Macaca mulatta: one gene and its partners. The protein of the gene in region 1 interacts with the protein of each later gene in a biochemical or structural test. Links are inferred from orthologs where the notes say so. Each region holds a gene or a part of one and is shown in the gene's direction. Other genes may lie near its edges. The genes, in order: NTRK2, BDNF and PTPN1.

Region 1 (4,265 bases):
AGTGCTATGAGCACTCGGAACACAAGGAAGATTTGAAATTTTGAAGGTGAGAAGGAGCGTGTCTGGGGGAATAATCCAGGTTCTTGCAGAATTAGAGGTTAAGAAAGTAAGATCTCAACTTTATTTTATTTATTCATTAAAAATACACATATATTTTAACACCTACTATGTCCTTGAGATATATCAATGAACAAAATAGACAAAAATCCCTGCCTTCATGGAGTGTACATTCTACTGGGAGAAATTTAAAATATATATATGATAAGTAAATGATCTGTCCAAAAGACAAACTGCTATGGTTGAAATAGTAGAGCAGAAGTAGGGTGATTAGAAGTAGGACCGCAAATCCTAATTTTAAGTGGGAGACAGTCAGTGGAATATATTTAGAATTCAACTATAATAGTAGCATATATTTACTCTAATAGAAATTCTACAGATATTCCAACATAATTGGAATCTTGTGGTGTACAAACCACCGTAAAACTGCCTATTCTCCATACCGCATTGAGACATGCTGCAGCCACTAGGGCGCAAATGGGCCCTTTCTTAGGAAAATGGGCTGAGAGTATGGGAGTGTGAGAGAGATGTGGGTGATTATGCACACACACACTCCTTCCTTCCCCAAGTGTTCCTCAGGGGCTTCTCCACTTAAGGGGCACTGACAAGACAGGCGGAGTTTTACGTGCGTCTGAGACCAGGTCATTTTTGCCCTTGCTTCTCTTCCTTGGCACGTCCTCACCTAGCAGAAAATCGAGAGAGGCCCTGCTGAGGAGTAAACTTCAGCCTGGCCGTTCACCACTCAAAGTGTGTTACAGCCGAGCGACAGTGGTGAGACAGACCTGCTAGCCTTGCCTTCCGGACCTGCAGCAAGATTTTTGGGTGCTGTCCAAGAATTCCCGCGGTAACACTCAGCGCCCAGGATCTGTACAAAAAAGCCCCACTAGATGTTTTACGTTCCCTTCGTAATATTTAATGCTTGGCCTAGATCCGAGCATTCACTCTAAGGTTCGGTTTCTCGATCCTTCCCATCCCCAGCCTCTGCGGGTAGATCAGTGACTGTTACTATATTTTGAACGAGACTCCAACCCATTGCTCTCTCTGGAGCGGAGGATTGGCCGCCTTTTTCCCCGGGCCGGACTTCGGCGAGGCCAGGCAAGCCGCTCACTGGCCGGGCAGGGACGCGCAGGCGTCGGGCGCCGCTGGTTGCGCATCTGGCGCCAGAGCGCGCCCCCAGCGCTGTGCCCGCCGCGACCGTGGCGGTGGGCTGGTGCTCCGGAGCGTGCCGGGCGCTCTCTCCCCGCGCGGGGGCACCAGAGCCCTCGGAAGTGTCAGGCACTGCGGTGCATTTTCCCAGTTCGCTTTTAAATGACTGCGGAAAAACAGATTCCGAGCCGCAAAAGGGAAGACGGATTCTCAGACAAGGCTTGCGAATGCCCCGCAGCCGTCATTTAACTGCGCCCGCAGAACAATTACGGTTTGTCACCCGACCCTCCCGGATCGCCTAATTTGTCCCTAGTGAGACCCCGAGGCTCTGCCCGCGCCTGGCTTCTTCGTAGCTGGATGCATATCGTGCTCCGGGCAGCGCGGGCGCAGGGCACGCGTTCGCGCACACCCGCGCACACATGAACACGCGCAAGGTACGGCAGGGGAGCAAGGGCTTGGGATGCCCTGCATGGGGTGGGCATCGCGGGGAGTGAAGCTACGATATGGGAATGGCTACATCCCGACAGGTTAAAGGATGAGAGAAAATGACGCGGCGCCACACATCGGACAGGCCAGGGTGGCCACCGAGCATTTAGAATACGCATCAGGCGCGCTCCCTTCCCCTCACATGTCTCTATTTCCCGGGCGTGTGATGGCAGAAAACGGCAGGAAGAAGACCCACTTAGAGAGCTAGAATTGTGTTTGGAGACTCCCTTCCCTCTGCAAAAGCACCAACAGGAAGCCCCTCCAAAACCACCGATCCCCAAATAGGTGGCCCGGAATGGGGGCGGTGATCCTTGGTTACCAATGCAGAACACGTTTTGGTGTTTACAACATTTATTTATTTTTAGGATAGCTTGCCCTCCCTTTTAGGCAGGGTGGGAAAGGAGAACGCGGGGAGGGAGAAGGGAGGGAGGATTCCTATAATAAGAATCAGCGCATTTTTCAGAGCTGAACCAAGCACGGTTTCCATTTCAAAAAGCGAGCCAGCCTCTACCGCGATTGTAGAAGAGACTGTGGTGTGAATTAGGGACCGGGAGGCGTCAAACGGAGGAACGGTTCATCTCAGAGGTACCTGGATGTAAATTCACACACACACACACACACAGAGGCACGCGCGCGCGTGTCTACACGGCCAGGATGTGTGCGTGTGTGCGTGCGTGTGTGCGCGCGTGTGTGCACTCCCACATGCTGCTGCTGTCTGCTTCTGGCCAGTGGCACTGATGCCTCCCTCCTCCCTGCTCGCCCCCAGATTCCCCTCCCCTCCCTGGTGCTTTTGTCTGGAGGGTGTTATGGGTTTGTGTGTGTATGAGCGCGTGTGTGTTTTTGGATTTCAGACTAATTTTCTGGAGTTTCTGCCCCTGCTCTGCGTCAGCCCTCACGTCACTTCGCCAGCAGTAGCAGAGGCGGCGGCGGCGGCTCCCGGAATTGGGTTGGAGCAGGAGCCTCGCTGGCTGCTTCGCTCGCGCTCTACGCGCTCAGTCCCCGGCGGCAGCAGGATCCTGGACCCAGGCGCCGCCGGCGGGCGTGAGGCGCCGGAGCCCGGGTGAGCAGCGCAGACAGTGCCCTCGGTCGCCTCGGCCCTCCCTGTCTCCCCCTGGGGCGGCCTCGGCTACTCCCCAGGTGGGACGTGCCGCGCCACCTGCCCGCGCCACCGGCACCCAGCGGCTGTGGCGGATTCTGCAGCATCATTCGGGGCCCCCGTCGCGGAGCCAAAGCTGCCGGCAGTCTCCGCATTCCCCTTTAAAGGGTCCTTCGCCCGGCCTGTACCATGGAATCTTGTCTCGGGGACCCTTTCCCTACCTCCCCTCCCTTGGCCTCAGGCTCGAAGAGAGAGTGGGCACACTGGTGGCTCCAGCGGCGTCAGTGCCATCGCGGGGCAAGTTGATTCCTGGGCTGGAGCTGGGCACTCATCCATCCACAGTCTCCCGGCTGGGATCGGGGTGGGGATGACGCGAGCGCAGAGGGAGAGTGCTCCAATTAGTGGTGTTGGGGGTCCTACACTCAGTCTTACGCGTATCTGTTTGTCCTCAGCCTCGAGGTGCATACCGGACCCCCATTCGCGTCTAATAAGGAGCCTGCACCCCAGAGAGTCCCGGGAGCGCCGCCGGTCGGTGCCCGGCGCCCCGGGCCATGCAGCAACGGCCGCGGCGGAGCTCCGAGCGGCGGTAGCACCCCCCTGTAAAGCGGTTCACGATGCCGGGGCCACTGTGAACCCTGCCGCCTGCCGGAATACGCTCCGCTCCGGACCAGCTCAGCCTGTGATACGCTGGACTCCGCGCGCCCGCAGCAAGCAAGCACCGAGGAGTCAAGAGAGCCGCAAGCGCGGGGAAGGCCTCCCCGCACAGGTCGGGGAAACCGGCCGGTGCAGCGTGGGGACACTCACTCGGGCTGGCACTGGCTGCTAGGGATGTCGTCCTGGATAAGGTGGCATGGACCCGCCATGGCGCGGCTCTGGGGCTTCTGCTGGCTGGTTGTGGGTTTCTGGAGGGCCGCTCTCGCTTGTCCCACGTCCTGCAAATGCAGTGCCTCTCGGATCTGGTGCAGCGACCCTTCTCCTGGCATCGTGGCATTTCCAAGGTTGGAACCTAACAGTGTAGATCCTGAGAACATCACCGAAATGTGAGTTCCTGGAGCTTTTCCTCTTTTTTCTCCTTGCCCCTAGGGCCCGGGCTGGCCAGATGGGTAGGTCCTGAAAGTGAATGCTGTCTCAAGAGTGGGGAGAAGTCAGAGACAAGAGATGCAAGGCAGGGTCATCTGTCAGTTACCTGTCTGTTTCACTGGCTTGGGACTGCTAGTGCAGGAGAAGTGTGACACTTTAGGATAAGTTTTAAATATAGATATACATATGCCGATTATATATGTATTCCTCGTGGGAAGGAACTCACTATGCTTTTTATATTTCAAAGCTCTGCTGGGTGTGCTTTAGGCTTTCCGCATGCACTAACTTAGTTTTGGGCATTTTTGTTTCATAAAGTGCTGTGTGTATGTTGTGTTAGAAGTTCCATTAATATTCACTAGAAAAGAGGTTAAAATAATTAACTTTCCCGAATCTGTTGAAG
Region 2 (4,050 bases), on another chromosome or scaffold:
TATTCTAAATTTTAAGGTCTGCACAAATTGGTTGAACTAATGAGAATAAAATTTAGCCTTAAAGCAGAAACACAGGTAGACGGTTGACAGAGTTCATCAAACGGATAACTGAAAATGTCCTCTGGACCCTAGCCATATAAGTTCTCTCCATGGGTCTTGGCTACAGGCAAATGAGAACCCGAAAGACTATTTGCTCTTTTGCTGCGGGCAGTGGTGGGGGTGGAGGGCGGGGGAGGATTAACTGAGCCAGTTCTGCCCCCACCCTCGAATCCCCTACCCCCACTCTGGTTAAAGCAGAAGATTTTTTATTTATCTTTGCTGCCCTGGTTCGTTATTAAAAGGGTTAGCTTATATGTGTGTTTGCTGGGGCTGGAAGTGAAAACATCTGCAAAAGCATGCAATGCCCTGGAACGGAACTCTTCTAATAAAAGATGTATCATTTTAAATGCGCTGAATTTTGATTCTGGTAATTCGTGCACTAGAGTGTCTATTTCGAGGCAGCGGAGGTATCATATGACAGCGCACGTCAAGGCACCGTGGAGCCCTCTCGTGGACTCCCACCCACTTTCCCATTCACCGCGGAGAGGGCTGCTCTCGCTGCCGCTCCCCCCGGCGAGCTAGCATGAAATCTTCCTGCCTCTGCCGAGATCAAATGGAGCTTCTAGCTGATGGGGTGCGAGTATTACCTCCGCCATGCAATTTCCACTATCAATAATTTAACTTCTTTGCTGCAGAACAGAAGGAGTACATACCGGGCACTAAAGACTCGCGCCCCCTCCCCCCTTTAAGCAAAGAGAACGTGAAAAAATAATAGAGTCTGGGAGTTTTGGGGCCGAAGTCTTTCCCAGAGCAGCTGCCTTGATGGTTACTTTGACAAGTAGTGTCTGAAAAGGTGGGTTTGTTTTCTTTCTTTCTCTTTCCGTTTTTCTGTTTGGTCTGCTAGAAAGCGTGTGGCTTTAGCGAGGTCTGTCATTGCCTGGGCTTCCTGGCTGGAACAAGTAACTTGGTGTAACGTTATCTGGGGGCGTTCATCAATAAAAAATGCTGTTGTTATCTTGATTGAATTCCTATTAGGCAAACTCTAGAGAGGTCAGTGCGCGAACTCTGTTTAAGCCGGCGTGTTTAAGGCAGCGGAGTAAACCAATAGCCCCCATGCTCTGTGCGATTTCATTGTGTGCTCGCGTTCGCAAGCTCCGTAGTGCGGGAAGGTGCGGGAAGGTGTGTCTGTGGCCCGGGAAAAGCACGCCCATTCCCAGAGAACTTAGGTGCTGGGATGGGGAGGAAGGGGAGAGTTGAAAGCTAGGGGAGCAAGACCTCAGGGCGTGCGATCCTCACTCGCTCCCTCACGCCCCAGCGCGCACAGCCGGGGTTTCTGCAGAGGGCGCGGGACGCGGGGTTCCCCGGGGCTGGGGCTGGGGCTGGAACACCCCTCGAAGCTGCGGGCGTCCTGCCCAAGGCGCCCCGGGAGGGCGCAGGACTCGCAGGATGATGTCGCGGGGACCTGGGGGAGGACGTGAGGACAGGCCCTGGGGGAGCGGGGAGTCCCAGGCGCCCCTCGGTCCCCCGGGCGAGAAAAAGGCGCGGCGTTCCCTTTAAGCAGCCGCCCCGAACGGGTATCGGTAGCGCGGGCGAGCGGGGGGAGGGGGGCGGGGGGGTGGCGCCGTTTGACCAATCGAAGCTCAACCGAAGAGCTAAATAATGTCTGACCCGGGCGCAAGGCGCAGCCTGGAGCTCCGGGTCCCAGCCGCTGCCGCCGCCGCGCCCGGGCGCACCCGCCGGCTCGCTGTCCCGCGCACCCCGTAGCGCCTCGGGCTCCCGGGCCGGACGGAGGAACCGGCCCGGTGCGCCTCCCATCTCCTGCTCGGGGGGCTTTAATGAGACACTTGAATGCAGCTGCCACCGCTGCTGTGGGGCCGGCGGGGAGCAGCACCGCGACGAGGACCCGGGCTGGGCGCTGGAGCCAGAATCGGAACCACGATGTGACTCCGCCGCCGGGGACCCGTGAGCTTTGTGTGGACCCCGAGGTAGGCAAGCGCCGGGCATGGGGCTTGGTACGGGAGCTGCCGGTCCGCAGGAGAAAGTTGACTGGGGGACCCCCCAAAGTTGTGGGACGAGGCCAGTCTCCTTCTTTCCTCCCCGCCGGTAGAAGGGAGGATTTGGAGTTGCTCCTGGGGAGTTTTCTCCCCCATCCCACAACCCAGAAGGTCACCCGGCACTACCAGGGAAAAAGGGACCCGGGGAAGGCACGAAGTAGAGGACAGAAGGCCTGGAGGAGACCCAGAGCTGCGTGATGGGAGCCAAGACGGCGACCCGGGGATCCCTCGCAGTCCTCCCCCACCCCAGGAGGAGTCGAGAGAGACTTAGGGGGCCAGAGCTGTCGGGGGCCCTGACTGAGGGAAGGGTGCTGAGGCTAGGCTAGGAATCCTTCCAGGGGTTGGGTGGTCCCCGCGCCGACCTGTGGGGGGAGTGGGAGGGAAGCTTGCGCCTTGAGTCCGCGTCGTCCCCGGGACTGCACACGGCTACCTGCTCCCCAGGAGTTGAGACTGAAGTGGATTTACAAGTCCGAAGCCAATGTAGCTTAGAAAACTTGGGAGGCGGAATTACTACCGCTCGGAACTGAAAGGGTCTGCGAGACTCCCGGGCGGGCCGAACCCACATCTCTACCCAGCCTGCGCCCCTCTTCTGAAGCGCCCTCCAAGGAAGTTAGAGTTTTGACTTTCGGGGACTAGGTGGGATATAGGTGGGGGATTCCTTACTCGGGTTAGTCTCTGGGGATGCAGAGCCGGGAAGAATGGGTGAGAGTGAGTTGCGCCTGGAAAGAAATAGCTGAGGATTGGGGGCTCTGTGCCCGACGGGCAAGAAGAAGGGGAGATTACAGACTAGGGGCAGCCCTAAGGAAGAAGCCTTGGGGCTGCGAGGGTGAACTGGAGGATGCAGTGTTTTTGTGTTGGGGGTGGAGCAGGGATGAGGGACCGAGGTGGAGGGGAGGCAAGGAGGAGGAGGGGACCCGGAGAAGGAAGCTAGGGAAGGTAGAGGGTGCCCTCTGCCGGCCATGCTGCCAAGAGCAGCTCCTGGGGGCGGGAGGCTGGGGGTGGGGAAGTGGTAAGGGAAGGTTTTGCGGGATCCCTTAGAGAGCTGGTAGGAGGGACTTGTTGAATGGTGCTGCTGACTCCAGCTCGGTAGGGCATGCGACTCGTCGTCGGTGGATTTTGACTCCTTGTTCTTGTTTGGCTTCTATGCAAGTTTTCCTCGCGCTGGGGGAGCTCTGATAAGCCTCGATTGGTGGTGTGTTAGGGCTTCTTGGATCTTATTTTAGGGCCCTCTAGGTATCTTACACTTACTCTCAATGTCAGTAGCAACCAAAGAACGTTTTCCAACAAGCACGCAGGAATGTTCTTGGCCAGAAGCGAAGAAAAGCATATTTCTGAGTGTTTATTAATCCTCCTAGTACAGTTATCTTTTAAAGCAAAGTAGTATGCAATTGGGAACGTTGATTTTCTAACTGCATATAAAAGGCGATATGCTATTAAATGAGACCCCTCCCTACTGGCTCAATATCCTGAAAAATCTCTCTCTCCCCTTTATTATTATCGAAAAATCTATTTTTATATGAGTTTGTTGTAAGGTCAAAAGCCATTTCGGTCTTACAATTTGATATGTCTTTACATTTTAATTTATTGAGCCATAATTACAGATTTAATTTGTCTGAACGTGTGTGCCTTCAATGCTTACCTCATGCAACATAATTTTTAGGTTGGAGATTTCTGATGTTATGACATGTAGCGATTCAAGACATTACACATAATAGGTAACATAGCATGTTGAAATTACACCACAAAGTTTTGACCCTGGGAACAGCACCTTTTAAAAACCATCACTAAACACCTGTTCGTGTTTTCTGATTTTTGCAAATGCCTTGCTTGTGACTTTTTATTTTTTTATTTTTGTTTTTTGGTAAATTTACCTCTGGGTGAGCAGGAGAGGTAAGAGAAAGGAAAGAGACACTTGTTGAAATGTAACCATAACCTTTACTGGAATTTAAAACATGTT
Region 3 (3,574 bases), on another chromosome or scaffold:
GCTCACAGAGAGCATCGGTAGGAAGAAGAGACTTTATTTTCAAAAGATTTCATCTTCCAAGTACATGGCTGCAGCCCCGAGAGGCCGAGAGCCCCTCGCCAAGCCGCCACCTCTGCTCACGCAAGGGGACTTCCTGACAAGCCAGCCGACGCGAACACTAATAGGACTTCCTCTTGCTGCTCTTTCAAGGATCAGTGGAAGGAGCTTTCCCACGAGGACCTGGAGCCCCCACCCGAGCACGTCCCCCCACCTCCCCGGCCACCCAAACGAATCCTGGAGCCACACAATGGGAAATGCAGGGAGTTCTTCCCAAATCACCAGTGGGTGAAGGATGAGACCCAGGAGGATAAAGACTGCCCCATCAAGGAAGAAACAGGAAGCCCCTTAAATGCCGCACCCTACAGCATGGAAAGGTAATATGATTGGGTCCCGGCTTGTTGGGTTGAGGGGAGATGACCTTCTGTTCTAGAAACACACACTGGTACTGAAACCCTGTGGACGCAGCCTCCTGTTGGCAAGCAGTGCTTCCGCATCCTTGGGGAACAGGGCGTGTGGACCACAGCCCCTCCACTCCTGACTGCGGGAGGCCCGGTATTGGGCACAGGGTGGCCGCAGGACATGAGCCACTTCTGTGGGCTTCTAGTGCCACCTTGTGGTGCTTGTTGGAATGAGGGGCTCGGTGCCACCGAGTAGCATTTTTCTGCCCCCTGATGATAGCACCCTCCCCCAGGCTTCCGGACAGTCCTGAAATGTGATGTCCAGGCTTGACCATGTGCCCTCAGTCCCCACAGTGGTCCTTTGGGGACTGTAACCTTTTTTATGTTGTCTTGATTAAATCCCATTTTACTTCCTTGCAGGTTAACAACCATTATTGAGTACCTATTGATATGTGTGGTGTACTGAGTTAACTAGAACATGTCCCCTGGTCTGTGTTCTAGATCATCTTGTTGGGAAAAAGGCAGACCCAAAGCATATTTTGGTGGGAGCCCATGGACAGTGATGTGATAGAGGTGTCCACTGAGGTGGTCAGGAAAGGCTGCTTGCAGTAGGTGGCCGTGCACAGAAAGCTTGCAGAACGAGCAGGTGTTAGTTCCAGCTGGAGATGACTGCCGGCCGTGCCCTTGGTACCTGCTTTCCGGAGGGAAGTTTTAAGACGTGTGCATACTTGATCCAGCAGTTGTATACATGGAGAAATTTACCCTGCAGCGACTCTCAAAATAAGCATGTAAAGATGTGTATAGGTAGTTGTGTTTGTTGTCGCATTGCTTGTAGTAGTGAAAAATTAGAGACAGGCCAATGATATAACCAGGGACCTGATCAATTACATTCTCTCCCGGTGTTGGGATATTCTATAGCTCTTAAAGAATGAGATCTGGGTGTACTGATGTGGCCAGACATTGCAATTGCAGTAAATGAGAAGGCAAGTCATACAATAGTGTGTACACCAGTGGATCCTCCAGCCAGATAAATCCTCACAGTGCCCAATCGCCCAGGCACCTTGTGAACCCTACCCTGGCTGTGGGTGCTGTCTGAAGTACCTGGGGGAGGGGGTGACAAGTGGACTTCAGGCTGTTGTGGGCCCTGGCCTGGCCCTCCCGCCAAGAAGAGGGGCTGGCTCGCTGGAAGGTTAACATCACCCTACTCTGTCTACACGTGGCTTGTTTTTTCCCAGAATTCCTGCCACAATAGCAGCATCCTTGCCATTCACTTTCTCCAAAGTGAGTAAACCATCTCTGCCCCTCTGATTCCTCAGCATGAGTCAAGACACTGAAGTTAGAAGTCGGGTCGTGGGGGGAAGTCTTCGAGGTGCCCAGGCTGCCTCCCTAGCCAAAGGGGAGCCGTCACCGCCTAAGAAGGAGGAGGACCATGCACTGAGTCACTGGAAGCCCTTCCTGGTCAACATGTGTGTGGCTACGGTCCTCACGGCCGGCGCGTACCTCTGCTACAGGGTATGTTTCCACTGACAGACGCGCTGGCGAGATGCTCGTGTGCAGAGAGCACTGGCCGCTAGCCCGATGGTAGGATTCAGTTCTGTGGCGCATCTGAGCCAGTCTCAGAAGAAACAGATCAAAGGTTTTTAAAGTCTGGAACTGTGGAAGGGCTAACGAGAATTAAGGATCGATGCACTGGGGTTTTAAGGAGCCCTCTGGTCCCAAGAATATAAGAGTCTAATCTCAGGGCCTTAACCTATTCAGGAGTAAGTAGAGAAAATGCCAAATACGTCTGTCTCTCTCTCTCTCTCTTTTTTTTATTCCTTTGTTTTTGGAAAAAAATAGAATTACAACACATTGTTGTTTTTAACCTTTATAAAAAGCAGCTTTTTGTTATTTCTGGAAAAAAAACAAACTAGGCACTTAATGAAACTTTCTCGTACCCTTAGGTGATGTAATTAGCTATATAATTTATATTTGATTTCCCAGGGAAGGAATCCCAAACTTTTACGAATGTAAACTCCCTTGGAGAAGAGGGTTAGGACGCTCTTGCGCTCAAGCCCCCCTCAGCTGTGTGCACACTGAGCCAGGACAGGGTCTTTGAGCTTTCCCACTGTAAGAACAGCAACACAAGGCCGTCTAGAGAAACAGAACCTGCCTCTGCTTCTGCTCAGGGTGTCCGTTGTCCTTTCTCCATTGCTCCCTCCTGTGACAGCCATCTTGCTCATGTACCAGCCCTCATCACCCCATTCCCATAAAAGAGTGTCCTCGAGGCCTCTCCCTGGGGGTCAGAGGTCACCACAGGGTGGCCCTCAGCATGTCAGCCCTCTGTTAATTCAGAGGAGTGGGCTCCACCTCATTGGGAGAAGTGCCATTTCAGCAGAAATCCACACGTTAGACGTGTGTTGCTGTTAAGTAAGGGGAAGAGAGGACTAGCCTCAGAGCTCTGGCCATGGAAATGACCTCCTGAGACTTTTTCATCGTTTTAAATATTTTACCTCTTTTCAGGTGGCCATCTGAGTACATCAGATGGTTTTGCAAAATGCAAACAATTTTTTCCTTGGGGGTGATTTTTGGGGAGAAGGGGCTACTGTAAAAAATAAAACCAAAACCCCCTTTGCTCCCTCGGAGGTTGAAGTTGCCGGGGGGTGTGGCCGGGGTCGTGCATGAGGCGACAGCTCTGCGGGTGCGGGTCTGGGCTCATCTGAACTGTTTGGTTTCATTCCAGTTCCTGTTCAACAGCAACACATAGCCTGACCCTCCTCCACTCCACCTCCACCCACTGTCCGCCTCTGCCCGCAGAGCCCACGCCCGACTAGCAGGCATGCCGCGGTAGGTAAGGGCCGCCGGACCGCGTAGAGAGCCGGGCCCCGGACGGACGTTGGTTCTGCACTAAAACCCATCTTCCCCGGATGTGTGTCTCACCCCTCATCCTTTTACTTTTTGCCCCTTCCACTTTGAGTACCAAATCCACAAGCCATTTTTTGAGGAGAGTGAAAGAGTACCATGCTGGCGGCGCAGAGGGAGGGGGCCTGCACCTGTCTGGAGGCTCGCCCCACCCAGGGCTCCCTCCTGGAGCATCCCAGGCAGGTGGTACACCAACAGCCCCCTTGACTCGCAGGGAGCAACTCTCCACTCCATAT

What was found.
Region 2: the proteins of NTRK2 (region 1) and BDNF form a complex in vitro, tested with the Homo sapiens proteins (3 studies listed by BioGRID). The link is inferred for Macaca mulatta from reciprocal best matches to the Homo sapiens genes NTRK2 and BDNF.
Region 3: the proteins of NTRK2 (region 1) and PTPN1 form a complex in vitro, tested with the Homo sapiens proteins (2 studies listed by BioGRID, with this or other methods). The link is inferred for Macaca mulatta from reciprocal best matches to the Homo sapiens genes NTRK2 and PTPN1.

What each region holds. Positions count from the first base shown.
Region 1 is NC_133420.1:115,605,279-115,609,543, forward strand, and holds the start of NTRK2 (BDNF/NT-3 growth factors receptor precursor), read left to right. Parts: upstream 1-1,404; 5' UTR 1,405-1,637; intron 1,638-2,152; 5' UTR 2,153-2,274; intron 2,275-2,540; 5' UTR 2,541-2,749; intron 2,750-3,237; 5' UTR 3,238-3,613; coding exon 3,614-3,825; intron 3,826-4,265. UniProt on the Homo sapiens protein: Receptor tyrosine kinase involved in the development and the maturation of the central and the peripheral nervous systems through regulation of neuron survival, proliferation, migration, differentiation, and synapse formation and plasticity.
Region 2 is NC_133419.1:37,582,179-37,586,228, forward strand, and holds the start of BDNF (neurotrophic factor BDNF precursor form), read left to right. Parts: upstream 1-1,248; 5' UTR 1,249-1,874; coding exon 1,875-2,024; intron 2,025-4,050. UniProt on the Homo sapiens protein: Important signaling molecule that activates signaling cascades downstream of NTRK2. During development, promotes the survival and differentiation of selected neuronal populations of the peripheral and central nervous systems.
Region 3 is NC_133415.1:103,436,775-103,440,348, forward strand, and holds part of PTPN1 (tyrosine-protein phosphatase non-receptor type 1), read left to right. Parts: intron 1-189; coding exon 190-413; intron 414-1,753; coding exon 1,754-1,949; intron 1,950-3,159; coding exon 3,160-3,183; 3' UTR 3,184-3,574. UniProt on the Homo sapiens protein: Tyrosine-protein phosphatase which acts as a regulator of endoplasmic reticulum unfolded protein response. Mediates dephosphorylation of EIF2AK3/PERK; inactivating the protein kinase activity of EIF2AK3/PERK.